Saccharomyces cerevisiae S288C: one gene and its partners. Changing the gene in region 1 together with any one later gene gives a genetic interaction. Each region holds a gene or a part of one and is shown in the gene's direction. Other genes may lie near its edges. The genes, in order: SEC7, NMT1, LAS17 and FAA4.

What was found.
Region 2: mutations in SEC7 (region 1) and NMT1 together harm fitness more than expected from each alone (negative genetic interaction), as found in Saccharomyces cerevisiae (2 studies listed by BioGRID).
Region 3: mutations in SEC7 (region 1) and LAS17 are lethal when combined (synthetic lethality), as found in Saccharomyces cerevisiae (one large-scale study listed by BioGRID).
Region 4: mutations in SEC7 (region 1) and FAA4 together harm fitness less than expected from each alone (positive genetic interaction), as found in Saccharomyces cerevisiae (one large-scale study listed by BioGRID).

Annotation. Positions count from the first base shown.
Region 1 is NC_001136.10:796,183-803,832, reverse strand, and holds SEC7 (Arf family guanine nucleotide exchange factor SEC7), read left to right. Parts: upstream 1-1,610; coding exon 1,611-7,640; downstream 7,641-7,650. Other genes in the region: YDR170W-A (gag protein), read right to left, coding at 1-638. UniProt on the Saccharomyces cerevisiae protein: Guanine exchange factor that acts as an activator of ARF1 at the trans-Golgi network and is thus involved in vesicular budding and traffic between compartments of the Golgi apparatus.
Region 2 is NC_001144.5:541,410-545,113, reverse strand, and holds NMT1 (glycylpeptide N-tetradecanoyltransferase NMT1), read left to right. Parts: upstream 1-1,809; coding exon 1,810-3,177; downstream 3,178-3,704. Other genes in the region: rRNA-processing protein PWP1, read right to left, coding at 1-1,146; NCW2 (Ncw2p), read left to right, coding at 3,541-3,704. UniProt on the Saccharomyces cerevisiae protein: Adds a myristoyl group to the N-terminal glycine residue of certain cellular proteins. Substrate specificity requires an N-terminal glycine in the nascent polypeptide substrates.
Region 3 is NC_001147.6:674,005-678,342, forward strand, and holds LAS17 (actin-binding protein LAS17), read left to right. Parts: upstream 1-1,934; coding exon 1,935-3,836; downstream 3,837-4,338. Other genes in the region: putative dodecenoyl-CoA isomerase DCI1, read right to left, coding at 348-1,163; 40S ribosomal protein eS30 RPS30B, read right to left, coding at 4,187-4,338.
Region 4 is NC_001145.3:758,222-762,429, forward strand, and holds FAA4 (long-chain fatty acid-CoA ligase FAA4), read left to right. Parts: upstream 1-1,585; coding exon 1,586-3,670; downstream 3,671-4,208. Other genes in the region: YMR244W (uncharacterized protein), read left to right, coding at 1-96; COA6 (Coa6p), read right to left, coding at 296-610. UniProt on the Saccharomyces cerevisiae protein: Activates long-chain fatty acids (LCFA) by esterification of the fatty acids into metabolically active CoA-thioesters for subsequent degradation or incorporation into phospholipids.

The DNA of each region.
Region 1 (7,650 bases):
GTCATCTGACGTACGGCTTTTCTTGTTGCTGTCGGAATAATATCACCGAGATTCGAATTTTGTAAAAATTTGATGTATATTTTAACCCAATTTAGAAAGTCATTAGGTGAGGTTAAGATTGGCGGTGGTCTGACATGTTGATTAGTGGATGTCATATTAGACTTTGCTGAGGATGAATCAGGAAATGAATTACCTGACTCAGGTGACGGGGTGTTCAAATGTGTTCCAACATATTGTGGATATTGTGTAAACTGTGATTGTGCTCCAGGTGGAGCGTACATAGGTGACATTTGATAAGGTGGATACGGCATCAAAGATGGGTGCCCGTATACTGGCCAACCAGAAATATTGGCTTGTTGGGGAGTCATCATTCGCTGCTGTGGGTACGGCCCATTTTGTGGCAATGGTACTTGAGCAGCTTGAGGAGAGGCATGATGATGGTTCTCTGGAACAGCAGCTGAGGGAGGTGTTGTTGGCTGTTGAGAATTAGCCTGAGTGAAAACCTTCTCACATTCTTCTGTTTTGGAAGCTGAAATGTCTAACGGATCTTGAGTTGTTTGGACTTCTTTAGAAGTAACCGAAGCACAGGCGCTACCATGAGAAATGGGTGAATGTTGAGATAATTGTTGGGATTCCATTGTTGATAAAGGCTATAATATTAGGTATACAGAATATACTAGAAGTTCTCCTCGAGGGTCAGGAATCCCCATAATGGAATCTATATTTCTATATACCAATATTACGATTATTCCTCATTCTGTTTTATATGTTTCATTATCCTATTACATTATCAATCCTTGCACTTCAGCTTCCTCTAACTTCGATGACAGCTTCTCATAACTTATGTCATCATCTTAACACCGTATATGATAATATATTGATAATATAACTATTAGTTGATAGACGATAGTGGATTTTTATTCCAACACTATGTGTGTATTGTGTGTGCGTGTAATATAATCATTTCTAGTCATCTCTAGTCAAAGTAACTTATAAAAGCCTAAAAAAGGAGGATTTAACATGAATTGTCGGTCCTATAGTGTAGTGGTTATCACTTTCGGTTTTGATCCGGACAACCCCGGTTCGAATCCGGGTAGGACCTCTTTTTATTTTTACTCTAACAAATCAACATTGATATTTTTTGTTGATGTGTTAGAGTGGAGCCAACGATGCTCTTAAGATATACACTTTAGTACTTTTGAAGCTCTTACAGTTTTTTGATGTCGGAGAAGGCTTATACATATTGTTATTTTCCCTCTACAGGAAAGAAGGTGAACGTTTAGTTTTTATCAAGGCGCCGAGTAAATTTTATAATATCGAGGCGAGGGAAAAACAAAGCAACGAGAAAGGAAGCTCAAAGTTGGGATTTACATCATTTCTTTAAAAAGCATCATTGGCTTCTCTCCAATTGTTCAATAAACGCAGACTAATAGAAATTGAAGTCATTTTCCGGAGAAATATAAAATATTTTCTGCAACTAAGCTATACTCGATTTCTTTTAAGTTTCTCCAGAACCAATAAAAAGTAATATCTTAAACTGTTTCTTTCTCATTTTTTCCCCGAATTCCATTAAAGAAGATAAGAAACAAGTCTAAGTGCTACTATATCTGATGTCTGAACAGAATTCAGTAGTAAATGCTGAAAAAGGGGATGGCGAAATATCTTCAAATGTAGAGACTGCTTCTTCAGTCAATCCGTCTGTGAAACCACAGAATGCTATTAAAGAAGAAGCTAAAGAGACAAATGGTGAAGATCAAAAATGCAAAGGGCCAGAAAACGCTGGCAGTACGGCAGAAACAAAAGAAACAAGTAACGACGCTACCAACGGAATGAAAACGCCCGAAGAAACGGAAGATACAAATGACAAACGCCATGACGATGAAGGTGAAGATGGAGATGAAGATGAAGATGAAGATGAAGATGAAGATGAAGACAATGGGGACGAGGATGATGAGGACGTGGATAGCAGTAGTTCCGAAACCAGTTCCGAAGACGGGGAAGATTCTGAATCAGTCTCAGGGGAAAGTACTGAGAGTAGCTCTGGAGAAGATGAAGAATCTGATGAAAGCGATGGAAATACATCAAACAGCTCCTCTGGTGATGAAAGCGGGTCAGAAGAAGAAGAAGAAGAAGAAGAAGAAGAAGAAGAAGAGGAAAATGCTGGCGAACCAGCTATCGCTCATCAAGATAGTGTTCCCACCAACGATTCTACTGCCCCAAGGTCTACCCATACGAGGAACATATCACTATCTTCAAATGGTTCGAACACAAACTCAACCATAATTTTAGTGAAAACTACGTTGGAGACAATTTTAAATGATAAGGACATTAAAAAGAATTCGAATGCTCAGAAGGCTATCGAAAGGACATTACAAAAATTTAAGGAATTTGATCCGCAAACCACGAATAACCCACATTACGTGGATTCAATACTAGTATTCGAAGCACTAAGGGCAAGCTGTCGTACCAAATCCTCCAAAGTTCAAAGTTTGGCTTTAGATTGCCTGTCAAAATTGTTTTCTTTTAGATCGCTAGACGAGACCCTGTTAGTGAATCCACCCGATTCTTTAGCCTCTAATGATCAACGACAAGATGCTGCCGATGGAATAACGCCGCCTCCAAAACAAAAAATTATAGACGCTGCAATTGATACTATTTCAGACTGTTTTCAAGGTGAAGGCACTGATGACCGTGTGGAACTACAAATCGTTAGAGCTTTATCTAGTTGCATTTTAGAAGAGGATTCAAGTTCTTTATGCCACGGTGCTTCCTTGCTAAAGGCTATCAGAACAATCTACAACGTTTTCGTCTTTTCGTTGAACCCATCCAATCAAGGTATTGCACAGGCGACCTTGACACAAATTATTAGTTCGGTGTATGATAAAATCGATCTCAAACAAAGTACCTCTTCAGCAGTATCCTTATCGACAAAAAATCATCAACAACAATCCGCCATAGAACTTTCCGAGGCTTCTGAAAATGCAGAAACGCCGGCTCCTTTAACTCTGGAAAATATGGATAAGTTGAATGACGATGAGGAAAGACTAATGGACGCTCAACAGCCTGATTCTATCGCCATAACTAACCAAGATCTAGCTGTTAAAGATGCGTTCTTAGTGTTTAGAGTCATGGCGAAAATATGTGCTAAACCTTTGGAAACAGAACTCGACATGAGGTCACATGCCGTCAGGTCAAAGCTTTTATCTCTTCACATCATTTACTCTATTATCAAAGATCATATTGACGTATTCCTTTCCCACAACATTTTTCTACCAGGAAAGGAGCGTGTGTGCTTTATCGATTCAATTAGACAATATTTACGTCTTGTTTTATCAAGGAATGCTGCCTCGCCTCTAGCTCCAGTTTTCGAGGTTACTTTAGAAATTATGTGGCTATTGATTGCTAATTTGAGAGCAGATTTCGTGAAGGAAATTCCAGTTTTTTTAACAGAAATCTACTTCCCCATTTCAGAATTAACCACTTCCACCTCCCAACAAAAGAGATATTTTTTAAGTGTTATTCAACGAATTTGTAACGACCCAAGAACTTTAGTTGAATTTTACTTGAATTATGATTGTAACCCTGGAATGCCAAATGTAATGGAAATAACTGTTGATTATTTGACAAGATTGGCTTTAACTAGGGTGGAAATTACTCAGACTCAAAGATCATACTACGATGAACAAATATCAAAATCCCTGTCCACCTACAATTTCTCACAATTGCCCCTTTTGACTTCTTCCAACTTGTCTTCTAGTCCTGATGTTGGTCAAGTCAATTTACTTTTTCCACTTGATTTTGCTCTCAAAATGGTGTCACTAAATTGCATTGTGTCAGTTTTGCGTTCCTTAAGCTCATGGGCTCACAAAGCTTTAAATCCAAACACACACACTGCTAATAAGGTATTACTAAACACAACATCTTCAGCTCGTCAAGAATCTAGATCATCTTTGAGTAACGACGTAAGGTCTTCTATTATGACAAGTAATGATGACTTCAAACCAACATATGAAGACGAAGAAAGCAGATCATTGAGCAGTCAAAACATTGACGCAGACGACCCCACACAATTTGAAAATTTGAAACTAAGGAAAACTGCTTTATCGGAATGTATTGCTATTTTCAACAATAAACCCAAGAAAGCTATTCCAGTACTTATTAAAAAAGGATTTTTGAAAGATGATTCTCCAATTTCCATTGCCAAGTGGTTATTAGAAACAGAAGGCCTCGACATGGCCGCTGTTGGGGATTATCTAGGCGAAGGAGACGACAAGAACATCGCTATAATGCACGCATTTGTTGATGAGTTTGACTTCACTGGTATGTCCATTGTTGACGCATTAAGGTCATTTTTACAAAGTTTCAGATTGCCTGGAGAAGGTCAAAAAATTGACAGATTCATGCTGAAATTTGCGGAAAGATTTGTGGACCAAAACCCCGGAGTCTTTTCAAAGGCGGATACTGCATATGTGCTTTCGTATTCTTTGATCATGTTGAATACTGATTTACATTCGTCACAAATCAAAAATAAAATGTCTTTACAAGAGTTTTTAGAAAACAACGAAGGTATTGACAACGGAAGAGATTTACCAAGAGACTTCTTGGAAGGTTTGTTCAACGAAATTGCTAACAATGAAATCAAGTTAATTTCTGAACAGCATCAGGCAATGCTTTCAGGTGATACCAATCTTGTCCAACAACAGCAATCTGCTTTCAACTTCTTTAATTCTCGTGATTTGACAAGAGAGGCATATAATCAAGTCTCAAAAGAAATTTCATCTAAAACGGAATTAGTCTTTAAGAATTTAAACAAAAATAAAGGAGGCCCAGACGTCTATTATGCTGCTTCCCACGTTGAGCATGTTAAATCAATTTTCGAGACACTATGGATGTCCTTTTTAGCAGCTCTAACCCCCCCATTTAAGGATTATGATGACATTGACACAACCAATAAGTGTTTAGAAGGCTTGAAAATATCAATTAAAATTGCTTCTACTTTTAGAATCAATGATGCTAGAACCTCCTTTGTAGGTGCGTTAGTCCAATTTTGTAACCTTCAAAACCTTGAAGAAATCAAAGTTAAAAATGTCAATGCAATGGTAATTCTTCTTGAAGTCGCGTTATCAGAAGGAAATTACTTGGAGGGATCGTGGAAGGACATTTTGCTGGTCGTGTCTCAAATGGAAAGACTACAATTGATATCCAAAGGTATCGACAGAGATACGGTTCCAGATGTTGCACAAGCTCGTGTTGCAAACCCTAGAGTTTCTTACGAATCATCAAGATCCAATAATACATCTTTCTTTGATGTTTGGGGCAAGAAGGCAACTCCCACAGAATTGGCTCAAGAAAAACACCATAATCAAACCTTATCACCCGAAATCTCTAAATTCATTTCCTCCAGTGAATTAGTCGTTTTGATGGACAATATATTTACCAAAAGTTCCGAGTTATCAGGTAATGCTATCGTTGATTTTATCAAAGCTTTAACCGCTGTATCTTTAGAAGAAATTGAATCATCTGAAAATGCTTCCACACCAAGAATGTTTTCCTTGCAAAAAATGGTCGATGTATGTTACTACAATATGGATCGTATCAAACTAGAATGGACGCCGCTTTGGGCTGTTATGGGAAAAGCTTTCAACAAGATTGCTACAAACTCTAACTTAGCAGTAGTATTTTTCGCTATCGATTCCCTGCGTCAATTGTCTATGAGATTTTTAGATATTGAGGAATTATCAGGTTTTGAATTTCAACATGATTTTTTAAAACCTTTTGAATACACGGTTCAAAATAGTGGCAACACTGAAGTTCAAGAAATGATTATTGAGTGTTTTAGGAACTTCATATTGACAAAATCGGAAAGTATCAAATCTGGCTGGAAGCCTATTCTTGAATCCTTACAATATACGGCTCGCTCAAGCACTGAATCCATTGTATTAAAGACGCAATTGCTGGTTAGCAATGATATTGTGACAAATCACTTCGAAAACGTATTCTCTCAAGAAGATGCCTTTTCTGAGTTAGTTGGTGTCTTCAGAGAAATCACCAAAAATAAGAGATTCCAAAAGCTATCTCTACATGCTTTGGAGTCTCTAAGAAAGATGACTCAGAACGTCGCAGACATCTGTTTTTACAATGAAAATAAGACTGAAGAAGAAAGAAAACATAACGATGCTTTACTTCGTGGGAAAGACATATTCCAGGATGTGTGGTTCCCTATGTTATTCTGCTTCAATGATACGATCATGACAGCTGAAGACTTAGAAGTTAGATCACGTGCATTAAACTATATGTTCGATGCCCTAGTGGCATATGGTGGTAAATTCAATGATGATTTCTGGGAAAAGATTTGTAAGAAGTTACTATTTCCTATTTTCGGTGTATTATCCAAACATTGGGAAGTCAACCAATTCAATAGTCATGATGATTTAAGTGTTTGGCTTTCGACCACGTTAATTCAAGCCTTAAGGAACTTGATTGCCCTTTTTACGCATTACTTTGAATCGTTGAACAGAATGCTCGATGGATTTTTGGGTCTGCTGGTATCCTGTATTTGTCAAGAAAATGACACTATTGCTAGAATTGGGAGATCCTGCCTGCAACAATTGATATTGCAAAACGTATCTAAATTCAATGAGTACCATTGGAATCAAATAGGTGACGTATTCGATAAATTGTTTGATTTAACCACTGCTAATGAATTGTTCGATTATGATCCGTTACAGCAAGGAAGAAAATCATCTGTATCTCATCACCAAACAACTAATGATACCAGCCAACACTCAGATGATGATAGCAACGACAGAAGGGAGAACGATTCTAATATCAGTGAGACGGTCGAAAGAGCGCATCAAGAAGAATCCAGCGAAGACGTTGGTGGTGACATGGTTGAAACACTCAATGGGCAAACTAAGCTTAATAATGGCAATTCCGTTCCGACGGTAAAGGACGAATTGAATCCAAAGCCCGCTAGTCTAAGTATCCCCAAGAAAACTAAGCACATGAAACGAAACGAAAGTAACGAAGATATACGTAGGAGAATAAACATCAAGAATTCTATTGTTGTCAAATGTGTTTTACAGCTTTTGATGATAGAGCTGCTCAACGAATTATTCGAGAACGAAGATTTTGCCCACTGTATCCCTTACAAGGAAGCCATTAGAATTACAAGATTGTTGGAGAAATCGTACGAATTTTCTCGTGACTTTAATGAAGATTATGGGTTAAGAACAAGACTAGTAGAGGCTCGTGTAGTTGATAAAATACCAAACCTGTTGAAACAAGAAACGAGTGCTGCTGCAGTTCTCCTTGACATTATGTTTCAGTTGTATCTGAACGATGATGAGAAGAAGGCTGATTTAATAACTCGTCTGATCACCATTTGCATCCAGGTCGTAGAGGGTTATGTTTCTTTGGATGATAGAACCATGGAACGTAGTATCAATGCCTGGCGTTCAGTGATAGTTGAAATATTACAAGGTTACTACGAATTTGATGATGAAGACTTTAGACTATACTGTCCTGCTATGTATGCTCTGGTGATTCAAATATTAGATAAGAGCGTTCCAACGGAGTTGAGACATGCTATAAAACAATTTCTAAGCAGAGTTGGTGAATTATACCTTTCTACTGATTAAGGCTTTGTTG
Region 2 (3,704 bases), on another chromosome or scaffold:
TTCTATTTCCTCACCTGCCATGGCAGACCAGTATTTACTCATTTGACTTTCGTCAGAAATTCTAACATCTGTTAAAGCTACTCGAGAATCATAACCACCGGTCAAAAGAATGGAACCATTCAACATGTGCCATTCAGATGATGAAACATTTTTGTTTGAATGAATGGAAGCTAAGGAGCGGGCTGCGTTACCTGAGTTCAAATCCCATAGTTTTACGGTATGATCTGCAGAGGTGGATGCTAAAACGGAACGGAAATATTTGTTGTGTGCCATGGATAAAACAGCATCGGTATGATGAGTAGTAATGTGTCCAGTCTTAGACTTCTTCTTCTTCTTTTTGCTTTTCAAAGACACCATTGAATTATCAAGAGGTTCACCCAGAATCATATCGGGAAAGGCCTTGTCAACACAGTCCAAGTTCCAAATTTCAATTTGTGGATCAAACGTACCAATGGCAGCATAATTGGCTGCTTCTTCGGAATTGGATCCAACCTTGTAGTCAAGCCACTCAACACATAGTGGAAAAGCAGGCAACATTAAATCATGGTGAACGTAAAGTGCAGGGTCACGAACCAATCCACGAGCAACATCTGGGTCAGCTTCATCACCTTCTTCAACGGGAATATCGCTACTGTGGAACCCAGCACCGTCATCGTAAACGTAGATATCCAAATACGAAACGTCATCTTCTGTTCTCGCAGCAAGAACTAAATTATCGGATGGGTAAACTTGTAACTCCTGCTTCTCCTCTTGACTATCCTCTTGATTAGGCAATGAAATATATGGATCTTCACCTTTTTCACCCTCATGGAATTTAACATCGCTATCATTACTTAAACCCGGGAACATGGAAACGTCTTTACCACCCTCATTATCTGCAATTTCCTCATCGTCATATTCTTCCAGGTTATATTCTTTCAAATCATCATCTATATCCAACTGATCCTTCAACTTATTAGAACTACCTGTTGCGGCGTCATCTTCAACACCTGATTCGCCTTCTGCTTCTTCCAAAGTAGCTTTAGCATCATCCAAATTCAACTGTGCTAATTGGTTAATTCTTTCCACTTCCTCATCATCCAGAACATACTTTTCAGGAAATTCCGAGGAAAACCCTCTTGGAACCCAATTAGTAGCAGAAATCATTAGTTATTTTGTTTTTTTTATTCGTCTTCTAAGTTTCCAAATAAGGAAGGCGTAATAGACTCAACTGAGGGTACACTTGCTATCGTTTACAAATTAAAACTCTTTGCTTCTTTCAAACTCATCTCAGCTCATCGAGACAAATTTTTCACTTCTTTTTTTCGAGGGCGAGAAAATTTATTACCCGACTGGATATAATATATATAGAATAATACATATGATCAACTCAAGGTAGGGCCTATGGAAAAGTTTTACAACGGACAAGGCAATTAAATTGAATTGCACGATTCTCTAATTTTTTATTCTTGCAGATTTGTTTCATGATAAATTCGCCAGTTAGAGTTCTTATTATGGGTGGGTAAGAATTCAGTTAACGTTTAAAATTCTCAATATTAATCGCAAAGTGGAAAGCAAAGCAAAGTCTCACTAGAAATTGCAGGCGGACTATGTATAATTACGTAATAGTAGTTCTTGCAACAGAGGATCCTTTCGACTCTTTTGAAAGGATACTGTCATAAAACAATAGGATAAAATAATTTCAGCCGTTGCTCATGATAAAAGTAATTCACTATAATTGAAGATGATATGTGTTGCACGCTTTTTAGAGAATGATCTGTACAATAGCTCTGGTTGTCATAGAGCTTCGGTAGTAAACGTATTTATAGAATGTCAGAAGAGGATAAAGCGAAAAAATTAGAGAATTTATTGAAGTTATTACAGTTGAATAATGACGATACTTCAAAATTCACTCAAGAACAGAAAAAAGCTATGAAAGACCACAAATTCTGGAGAACGCAACCGGTCAAAGATTTCGATGAAAAGGTGGTGGAAGAAGGCCCCATTGATAAGCCAAAGACACCGGAAGATATATCTGACAAGCCACTACCTTTATTGTCTAGCTTCGAATGGTGTAGTATTGATGTGGACAACAAAAAACAGCTTGAAGATGTTTTCGTTCTACTAAATGAAAACTACGTGGAAGACCGCGATGCAGGCTTCAGATTTAACTATACCAAAGAATTCTTCAATTGGGCTTTAAAGAGTCCAGGTTGGAAGAAGGATTGGCATATTGGTGTTCGCGTTAAAGAAACACAGAAATTAGTTGCCTTTATCTCAGCCATACCAGTAACACTTGGTGTTAGAGGTAAACAAGTGCCTAGTGTAGAAATCAATTTCTTGTGCGTTCACAAACAGCTAAGATCGAAGAGATTAACACCTGTTCTAATTAAAGAAATTACGAGACGAGTGAACAAATGTGACATCTGGCATGCATTGTACACGGCAGGTATTGTTTTGCCAGCACCTGTGAGTACGTGTCGTTATACTCATCGTCCCTTGAATTGGAAGAAACTTTATGAAGTAGATTTCACAGGGTTACCAGATGGGCACACAGAGGAGGATATGATTGCTGAGAATGCGTTACCGGCCAAAACAAAGACAGCGGGATTGAGAAAATTAAAGAAGGAAGATATTGACCAAGTTTTTGAGTTGTTCAAAAGATATCAATCCAGGTTCGAACTAATTCAAATTTTCACAAAAGAAGAATTCGAACATAATTTCATTGGTGAAGAATCGTTACCATTGGATAAACAAGTAATTTTCTCATATGTAGTCGAACAGCCCGATGGAAAAATTACAGACTTCTTCTCATTTTACTCATTGCCATTCACAATCCTAAATAACACAAAATATAAGGACCTAGGCATCGGGTACTTGTATTATTATGCCACCGATGCAGATTTCCAATTCAAAGACAGGTTTGATCCAAAAGCTACTAAGGCTTTGAAAACAAGATTGTGTGAATTGATTTATGACGCTTGTATTTTGGCCAAAAACGCTAATATGGATGTTTTTAACGCGTTGACTTCGCAAGATAATACATTGTTCTTGGATGATTTGAAGTTCGGGCCCGGTGACGGGTTCTTGAACTTCTATTTATTTAATTATAGAGCAAAGCCGATTACCGGTGGCTTGAATCCCGACAATAGTAACGACATTAAAAGGCGTAGCAATGTCGGTGTTGTTATGTTGTAGTGGCTGAAAGGACGAGGCGTATATAGTTTTCGTGTACATAGCCGACAGAATTTGACCACATTTAGTTTTTCCGCATAGTCAATTGACGAAGTGAAAAAATAATTAATCCAATGGCTGGCTTTAGAGTGTCAGCCTCCAAAATAAATCCAAAAATAGACAAAGAGAATCACTATAATTACCGCCTTGGAGTCCAAGTTGGCTTGAGAACTCGCATTTATTTTTAGCGACTGAGGTAGCTGAAAAACGCCTACTTTCTCAGAAGGCGGTAGTGAGCATATATAAGTATGTAAGAAAGATCAACTCTTCTGGACTAGATACTCACCGATCTAGTGAAAATATAAACAAACCCAACATATATATAAAATGAAGGCCTGTTCCATATTATTTACCACCTTAATTACTCTAGCCGCTGCTCAAAAAGACTCTGGTTCCTTAGATGGCCAGAACTCTGAAGATAGCTCACAAAAGGAAAGCTCAAACTCTCAAGAGATCACACCTACCACGACAAAGGAAGCCCAAGAAAGCGC
Region 3 (4,338 bases), on another chromosome or scaffold:
AAGAATTTGCATTGCCAAGGAAATTGATTCAGTTCATTAAGTACAGTTGTGAAGCACTTTAGTTACTTAACATGAATGACAGTTTTATTAGGTGTAAAAAAAAATCCTTTTTTTCAGAGAGCTATTTGTAAATATTATATGAATATTAAAAAACATCCTTTTTGAGTAAGAATTCCTATGAAACAAAATGGAACAATTTCACTTATATTGTAAGCGGATTTTACAACAGATATAAAATATTGTGCGCCAACATTAAAGTATTAAAGAACCCGGAATTTAACAATTGCAGAAGTATGATCGTGTAGTAGATTTTTTATGTTAAAATCCTATCTCTAAATGCTATATTATTATAACTTGTGGCGCCTGTTTCCCTCTTGAAGCTGTTTAAATCTTTTGAATGGCTCGCCGCTTGCCCAAAAAGGCAAGGTTCCGTTAGTCTCCATTGCTTGTGCTTTGATAAGCTTCTGTTTCATTTCACTGTGTAACAATTCTTTCATACCTAGTACACTTTTCGGATAAAGCCCTTCTAAATTCTGCTTTATGTCCTGAAGAACTTTTTCATTGAATGTTTCAGTATTTGTCAATTGATAATTTTTTGTAATAATAGTTCCTATCAATTCTTTAAATAGAACTGGTGTGCTGAAAATCATATGTTCGTTTGCAGAATTTATACCCAGTTTTTGAGTTAAGGTAACAGAAGTTCCCACTTCTGCGACAAAACCGAGATTGCTGAAGGGAAAAAGAAGAAATACTGAATCGTTTTGCGAGTAAACAATGTCACAAAGAGCAACTAGCGATGCGCTAAGTCCGATGGCCGGTCCATTCAAACAGCACACCAGAACCTTTTTATGGATTGCAAATGCGTTCGCCACAAATATGTTAGGAGAGCTTATAGCAGATACCAGCTTTGAGACTTTCTCCACTTCGCTTGTAACGTCTCCATCGTTTAGCTTGTTAACTGCTGAAAACTTACCTCCCGAGGAGAAATACTTGCCTGAGCTTTGTAGAACAGTAAACAAAACAGAATCAATATCGTTTGCCTTATGCAGTAATAGTGCAATGTATACAAAATCCTCGAAAGTTAAAGAGTTCAAATGTTTTGGATCAATTAATTTGATTATGAAAAAGGGACCATTAATATGGTAGCACACACGACTGCTCATAGTTAGAAGATAACTCACTAGACTTAACACCAGAAAATCCTACTCTGTAATAAAATAATCCCGGGGTAATGGATTGGATTTTTCTATCAGGATCGTTTACGTATATATAATACACTGTCGGAGTTTAGCGCGCTTACAGCCGCTACTTGTGGAGTCCTTTTTTTTTTTTTTTTTTTGGGGTTTCAGACATCCAGTAAAGAATAGAAACAAGCAACAAACTTCAGAACTGAAACAATGCTTTTTTAAGTTATCGCCTAAATATATTCAAAAAATATAGATATGCTAGATTTTCAATTATACCAAAGTTCATATTTTCAAAATGAATGTTAACAAAAAGACAAGTTGATGGCCCTTTTTCATAAAGTATGCGTTTAGTTTCAAGTAACGCCGGCTGACGTGGACGATTTATCAAAGAAGTGGTTTTGGAATACTCTTCTTTTGCAATTAGAAAAAAGGCAAAACTAAATGCAATGCAAGCAGTTGCCCATGGTACTTGAAATTGTGTCTCTGGTTTAAAAGATCTATGATATAAGTCTTAACTGATCTTATAGTTGTTTTTTTTTGAATTTTCCAAATAGTTTATATGATCATTGAATACGTGCGAGACGTCCGAAAAGGGGCCAGTCAATACCTATGAAAAAAAATCATGAATATGTAATAATAAATATTGAATGTAGAATATACATAGTAGAAAAGGAAGTGCTGTAGCGATTGCCATCTCCGCTACAAATTACAGTTCGTTACTTTAAGTGTTGATAGGCGTGATTTAATATGGGACTCCTAAACTCTTCAGATAAGGAAATTATCAAAAGGGCTCTACCAAAAGCGTCGAATAAGATTATTGATGTTACGGTGGCTCGACTATACATTGCATACCCTGATAAAAATGAATGGCAGTACACTGGACTTTCAGGAGCTCTTGCTCTAGTAGACGATCTTGTGGGGAATACTTTTTTTTTGAAATTAGTTGACATCAATGGCCATAGAGGAGTTATCTGGGACCAAGAATTGTATGTGAATTTTGAATACTATCAAGACCGTACTTTTTTTCATACATTTGAGATGGAAGAATGCTTTGCAGGTTTATTGTTTGTAGATATTAATGAAGCATCGCACTTTTTAAAGAGAGTTCAAAAGCGTGAAAGATATGCTAACAGGAAAACTTTGTTGAACAAAAATGCTGTAGCATTAACCAAGAAAGTAAGAGAAGAACAAAAATCTCAAGTGGTGCACGGCCCAAGAGGGGAGTCATTGATTGACAATCAAAGGAAAAGATATAATTATGAAGATGTGGACACAATTCCAACTACAAAGCATAAGGCTCCTCCCCCTCCTCCGCCAACGGCCGAAACATTTGATTCAGACCAAACAAGTTCATTTTCCGATATCAATTCGACAACAGCATCCGCACCGACTACCCCAGCCCCTGCTCTTCCTCCTGCATCTCCTGAAGTAAGAAAAGAAGAAACGCATCCAAAGCATAGTTTACCGCCTTTACCAAATCAGTTTGCGCCATTACCAGACCCTCCACAACATAACTCTCCACCTCAAAATAACGCGCCTTCGCAACCCCAAAGCAATCCATTTCCATTCCCAATTCCTGAAATTCCCTCGACACAGTCTGCAACAAACCCATTTCCATTTCCGGTACCTCAGCAGCAGTTTAATCAAGCTCCTTCAATGGGCATACCACAGCAGAATAGGCCCCTTCCACAGTTGCCTAACAGAAATAATCGGCCTGTGCCACCTCCTCCGCCAATGCGTACCACTACTGAAGGTTCAGGTGTTCGCCTACCTGCTCCTCCACCTCCGCCAAGGCGTGGGCCAGCACCACCGCCTCCACCACATAGGCACGTAACCAGTAATACCCTGAATTCTGCCGGTGGAAATAGCCTCCTTCCACAGGCCACTGGAAGAAGAGGGCCAGCACCACCACCTCCTCCAAGAGCATCTCGCCCCACACCAAACGTTACGATGCAACAAAATCCACAACAGTACAATAATTCTAACCGCCCCTTTGGATATCAGACAAATAGCAACATGTCATCTCCACCCCCTCCTCCAGTGACAACTTTCAATACCCTGACACCACAAATGACTGCAGCAACTGGACAACCTGCAGTTCCCCTTCCTCAGAATACTCAAGCACCTTCGCAAGCCACAAATGTGCCAGTGGCACCACCACCTCCTCCGGCATCTTTAGGCCAGTCGCAGATACCTCAGTCAGCACCCTCAGCACCTATTCCGCCAACGTTACCATCGACGACGAGTGCTGCACCACCTCCGCCACCAGCATTCCTAACTCAACAACCTCAATCTGGAGGAGCTCCAGCTCCACCCCCACCTCCTCAAATGCCAGCTACATCAACATCCGGAGGCGGTTCATTCGCTGAAACTACTGGAGATGCAGGTCGTGATGCACTTTTAGCTTCAATTAGAGGGGCAGGTGGCATAGGCGCTTTGAGAAAAGTTGACAAATCGCAGCTAGATAAGCCCTCAGTTTTACTGCAGGAAGCACGTGGAGAATCTGCTTCACCACCAGCAGCGGCTGGAAATGGAGGCACACCTGGTGGACCTCCGGCTTCTTTAGCAGATGCGTTGGCAGCAGCTTTAAACAAAAGAAAAACTAAAGTGGGAGCTCATGACGATATGGACAATGGTGATGATTGGTAATGGAATGCAAACAAAGATGAAACTACTGTTATAGAAAATATGTAATTTTATGTACTCACTATTAATGATCAAAGTAATTGCTCTTTTTATGTATAGTTTCTTTAATCGGAGGAAATTTTGATATAGGTTCAAAGGCGGTCAGTGATTGAATGATCAAGGTAATAGTCGGGCTACAATGATGGCCATCCCTATGGCCGTTTCAAATGTTTGAGAAAATGATGTATAGTAAATCCTAGATTTTAGCAGTTCGAATCAAAAACCCATGTAAAAAGGGTAAATATTTCCTAATTATAATATTTTTGTTTAATTACACATGTAGAACAATAAAAGTATAGAATTTTAGATAGTATCTATTGGACAGATGGACCTGGGTTCATTCTTCTCTTACCGTTAACCAAGGTAACGTTAACGAATCTTCTGGTGTACAATAATCTCTTGTAAGCACGACCCTTTGGTTTCTTTGGCTTTTCAGTTTTTTCAACCTTTGGAGTTTGAGACTTAA
Region 4 (4,208 bases), on another chromosome or scaffold:
TCTAAAGGCAAGAGAGAACTGAATCCGCTAGACGTTATTACCACAACGGTCACCGAGACCAAGTACAAGACAGTCACCGTCACTGCCAAAACTTAGCGCGGTTTTTTCTACCTTCCCTTTTTTCATCTTTTTGTTATATATATATACAGAGACACTCATGCGAATTTTCGCAAAACGAAGAAAAAAACATAAAATTTTCGTTTGTATCTACATGACTATCCTTTAATTATTACCTTTCTGTCAAATGTTTTATGGGAATATATATGTTAATATGAGCCAATAACTCACTAAAAACTCACTGATTTCGTTCCCTCTGTTTAGCTTCCTGCTCGATTCTCTTGATGGTCTGCTCTCTCTTAAAGTCGATGACCCTCTTCTCCTTGAAGTACTTGATCCAGCTATGGGCGCAATTCTCCTCAAATTTTTCATTTTCCACCTTGCAGTGCGACTTTATACTCTTGCTATTCTTGGGGTCCATTGCGTCCAAGATGTCTGCCTTGTCCAAACACTGGAAGAATGCGTCCCTGGACTCCCAGCACAACTTTCTCTGTGAACGGGTATTAGGGGGTTGTGATTCCTTTTTGCCACCATCAAATGAAAATAAGCCCATCGCTATATTACTACTATTCCTTTCTGTATATTCGTGTATCTATGTTCCTGCGCAGCGCTACAATAGTACCCGTCTATGTATGTATGTATGTATGTATGTAGGCGAATCTTCTCCCCCATTCTACAAAGCAGCACCTACCACCGCAGCACCGTTTCACATGTCCGTCTCTTTTGTTCAGCTCAGCTACAATCGTCAATCGCACTTTCTTCCGCGCGGGCGAGCCCGGTTTTGTTGGATTTGCTCAGGTGCCAATATACCATCAAGGAACGGACAGGGACCTGACAATACAATAGGCCATTTACATCACAATGCACAGGGACAGAAATTTATACACGATAACAATACCAACTAAACAAAAATATCTCCCGAGCCGATGCTTATTCCGCGGGTTCGATGCCGAAATAATTGTTGCATACGCTTTATCCAACACGATGGAGCGTGTTGGGCGCTTAAAGAAGAGACTCACTAAACTGTTCGGCTTTTTGGCTGCGCGTCTTTGCCGTTTCCCAACAAAAAACAATCATACTTAGTAACAAGAAAGACAAAAGCGCAAACCGAACCGCCCAGCTCAACCATCTTCGCCAAGTAGCGGCAAACTTATATAAGCTCCAACGATGTCCCCATCAATTAAGAACCCTCGATTGTCGGCGATCTATTTTTCTATTCTGGGTGTTTCTCGGCCTTCGTTCATCTCGTTCTTTCTACTCTTAGCCCTCATCTTTCTCTTCTGCATTCTTTTCACCTCATTAAGAACATTCGCGGCGCCGCTTTACCCCAACAAAAACAGCCCATCTTTTGTTCTACCTCTTTCAGATAAGGCTCAACAGATAGACAATAACTGATCATTCTTTCTTTTGTTTGCAACCCCTCTGAGTTGACATAAAAGCGAGAATACAAAAGAACCAGCATTAGTAACACATCATTTTTTTCTCTGTTCTTCACTATTTCTTGAAAAACTAAGAAGTACGCATCAAAATGACCGAACAATATTCCGTTGCAGTTGGCGAAGCCGCCAATGAGCATGAAACCGCTCCAAGAAGAAATATCAGGGTTAAAGACCAGCCTTTGATTAGACCCATAAACTCCTCAGCATCTACACTGTACGAATTCGCCCTGGAATGTTTTACCAAGGGTGGTAAGAGAGACGGTATGGCATGGAGAGATATTATAGATATACATGAGACGAAAAAAACCATAGTCAAGAGGGTGGATGGTAAGGATAAGCCCATCGAAAAAACATGGTTGTACTACGAACTGACTCCCTACATAACCATGACATACGAGGAGATGATCTGCGTAATGCACGACATTGGACGTGGGCTGATAAAGATTGGTGTTAAACCTAACGGTGAGAACAAGTTCCACATCTTTGCCTCTACTTCTCACAAGTGGATGAAAACTTTTCTTGGTTGCATGTCACAAGGTATTCCTGTGGTCACCGCGTACGACACTTTGGGTGAGAGCGGTTTGATTCACTCCATGGTGGAAACAGATTCCGTCGCCATTTTCACGGACAACCAGCTGTTGTCCAAATTAGCAGTTCCTTTGAAAACCGCCAAGAACGTAAAATTCGTCATTCACAACGAACCCATCGATCCAAGTGACAAAAGACAAAATGGTAAGCTTTACAAGGCTGCCAAGGATGCTGTTGACAAAATCAAGGAAGTTAGACCGGACATAAAAATCTACAGTTTCGATGAAATTATTGAGATAGGTAAAAAGGCCAAGGACGAGGTTGAATTGCATTTCCCCAAGCCTGAAGATCCAGCTTGTATCATGTACACTTCTGGTTCCACTGGTACACCAAAGGGTGTGGTATTGACACATTACAACATTGTAGCTGGTATTGGTGGTGTGGGCCATAACGTTATCGGATGGATTGGCCCAACAGACCGTATTATCGCATTCTTGCCATTGGCTCATATTTTTGAATTAACCTTTGAATTCGAAGCGTTCTACTGGAATGGTATCCTAGGGTACGCCAATGTCAAGACTTTAACCCCAACTTCTACACGTAATTGCCAAGGTGACCTGATGGAGTTTAAACCTACCGTAATGGTGGGTGTCGCCGCAGTTTGGGAAACAGTGAGAAAAGGTATCCTGGCCAAGATCAACGAATTGCCCGGTTGGTCTCAAACGCTTTTCTGGACTGTCTATGCTTTGAAAGAGAGAAATATACCATGTAGCGGCTTGCTGAGTGGGTTGATCTTCAAGAGAATCAGAGAAGCAACCGGTGGAAACTTAAGGTTTATTCTGAACGGTGGGTCTGCAATCAGCATAGACGCCCAAAAATTCCTCTCCAACCTTCTATGTCCTATGCTCATTGGATATGGGCTAACTGAGGGTGTGGCTAATGCCTGTGTCCTGGAGCCTGAACATTTTGATTACGGTATTGCTGGTGACCTTGTCGGAACTATTACAGCTAAATTGGTGGATGTCGAAGATTTGGGCTATTTTGCCAAGAATAATCAAGGTGAATTGCTGTTTAAGGGTGCACCCATCTGTTCTGAATACTATAAGAATCCTGAAGAAACTGCTGCGGCCTTTACCGATGATGGCTGGTTCCGTACCGGTGATATCGCTGAATGGACCCCCAAGGGACAAGTTAAGATCATTGATAGAAAGAAAAATTTGGTTAAGACCTTAAATGGTGAGTACATTGCATTGGAAAAATTAGAATCCATTTACAGATCAAATCCTTACGTCCAAAACATCTGTGTCTACGCTGATGAAAACAAAGTTAAGCCTGTCGGTATTGTGGTCCCTAACTTAGGACACTTGTCTAAGCTGGCTATCGAATTAGGTATAATGGTACCAGGTGAAGATGTCGAAAGCTATATCCATGAAAAGAAGCTACAGGATGCCGTTTGCAAAGATATGCTGTCAACTGCCAAATCTCAAGGCTTGAATGGTATTGAATTATTATGTGGCATTGTTTTCTTTGAAGAAGAATGGACTCCAGAAAATGGCCTTGTTACATCCGCCCAAAAATTAAAGAGAAGAGATATTCTAGCGGCTGTCAAGCCAGATGTGGAAAGAGTTTATAAAGAAAACACTTAAAGGAAGACATAGTTTTTTACTTTCCCCCCTGCCCTTCATAAACACTACGTTTCATTTTCTAAGAGCATCAATTTGCAAACACCTGAACTACTTGCACAATACATAGTTTCTTCTCCTACAGATACAGTTAATAATTAATAAATAACATTACACATAAACATGTTTAAGTTTCATTTCAGCAAGACAAGATTGACATTATTAAGCGTGATCTAAACTATGAATTTCTCCCGGGTATGAAACTACATTCTACTATTGATTTTAATAGATGAGCGATTAAACGGGATATTTGAATTTATGACTTCTGTAAACCATCGAATGCCCCAACTTTTAGTAATCAAACATGCACCGAAAACAACCATATCAATCAATGTCTTGCTTCATTCTTGATTTCTCATCTCTTTCTTTCCTTCGTAATTTCACCTTCTCCCTCCGCTCCTTTTATCGAAGAAACATCGTATTACAATTAACAACGCATTGCACTATAGTACACCAAGTTTGAAAATAAAAACCTCGCCCACGTTCATTTATGCAACAAGAA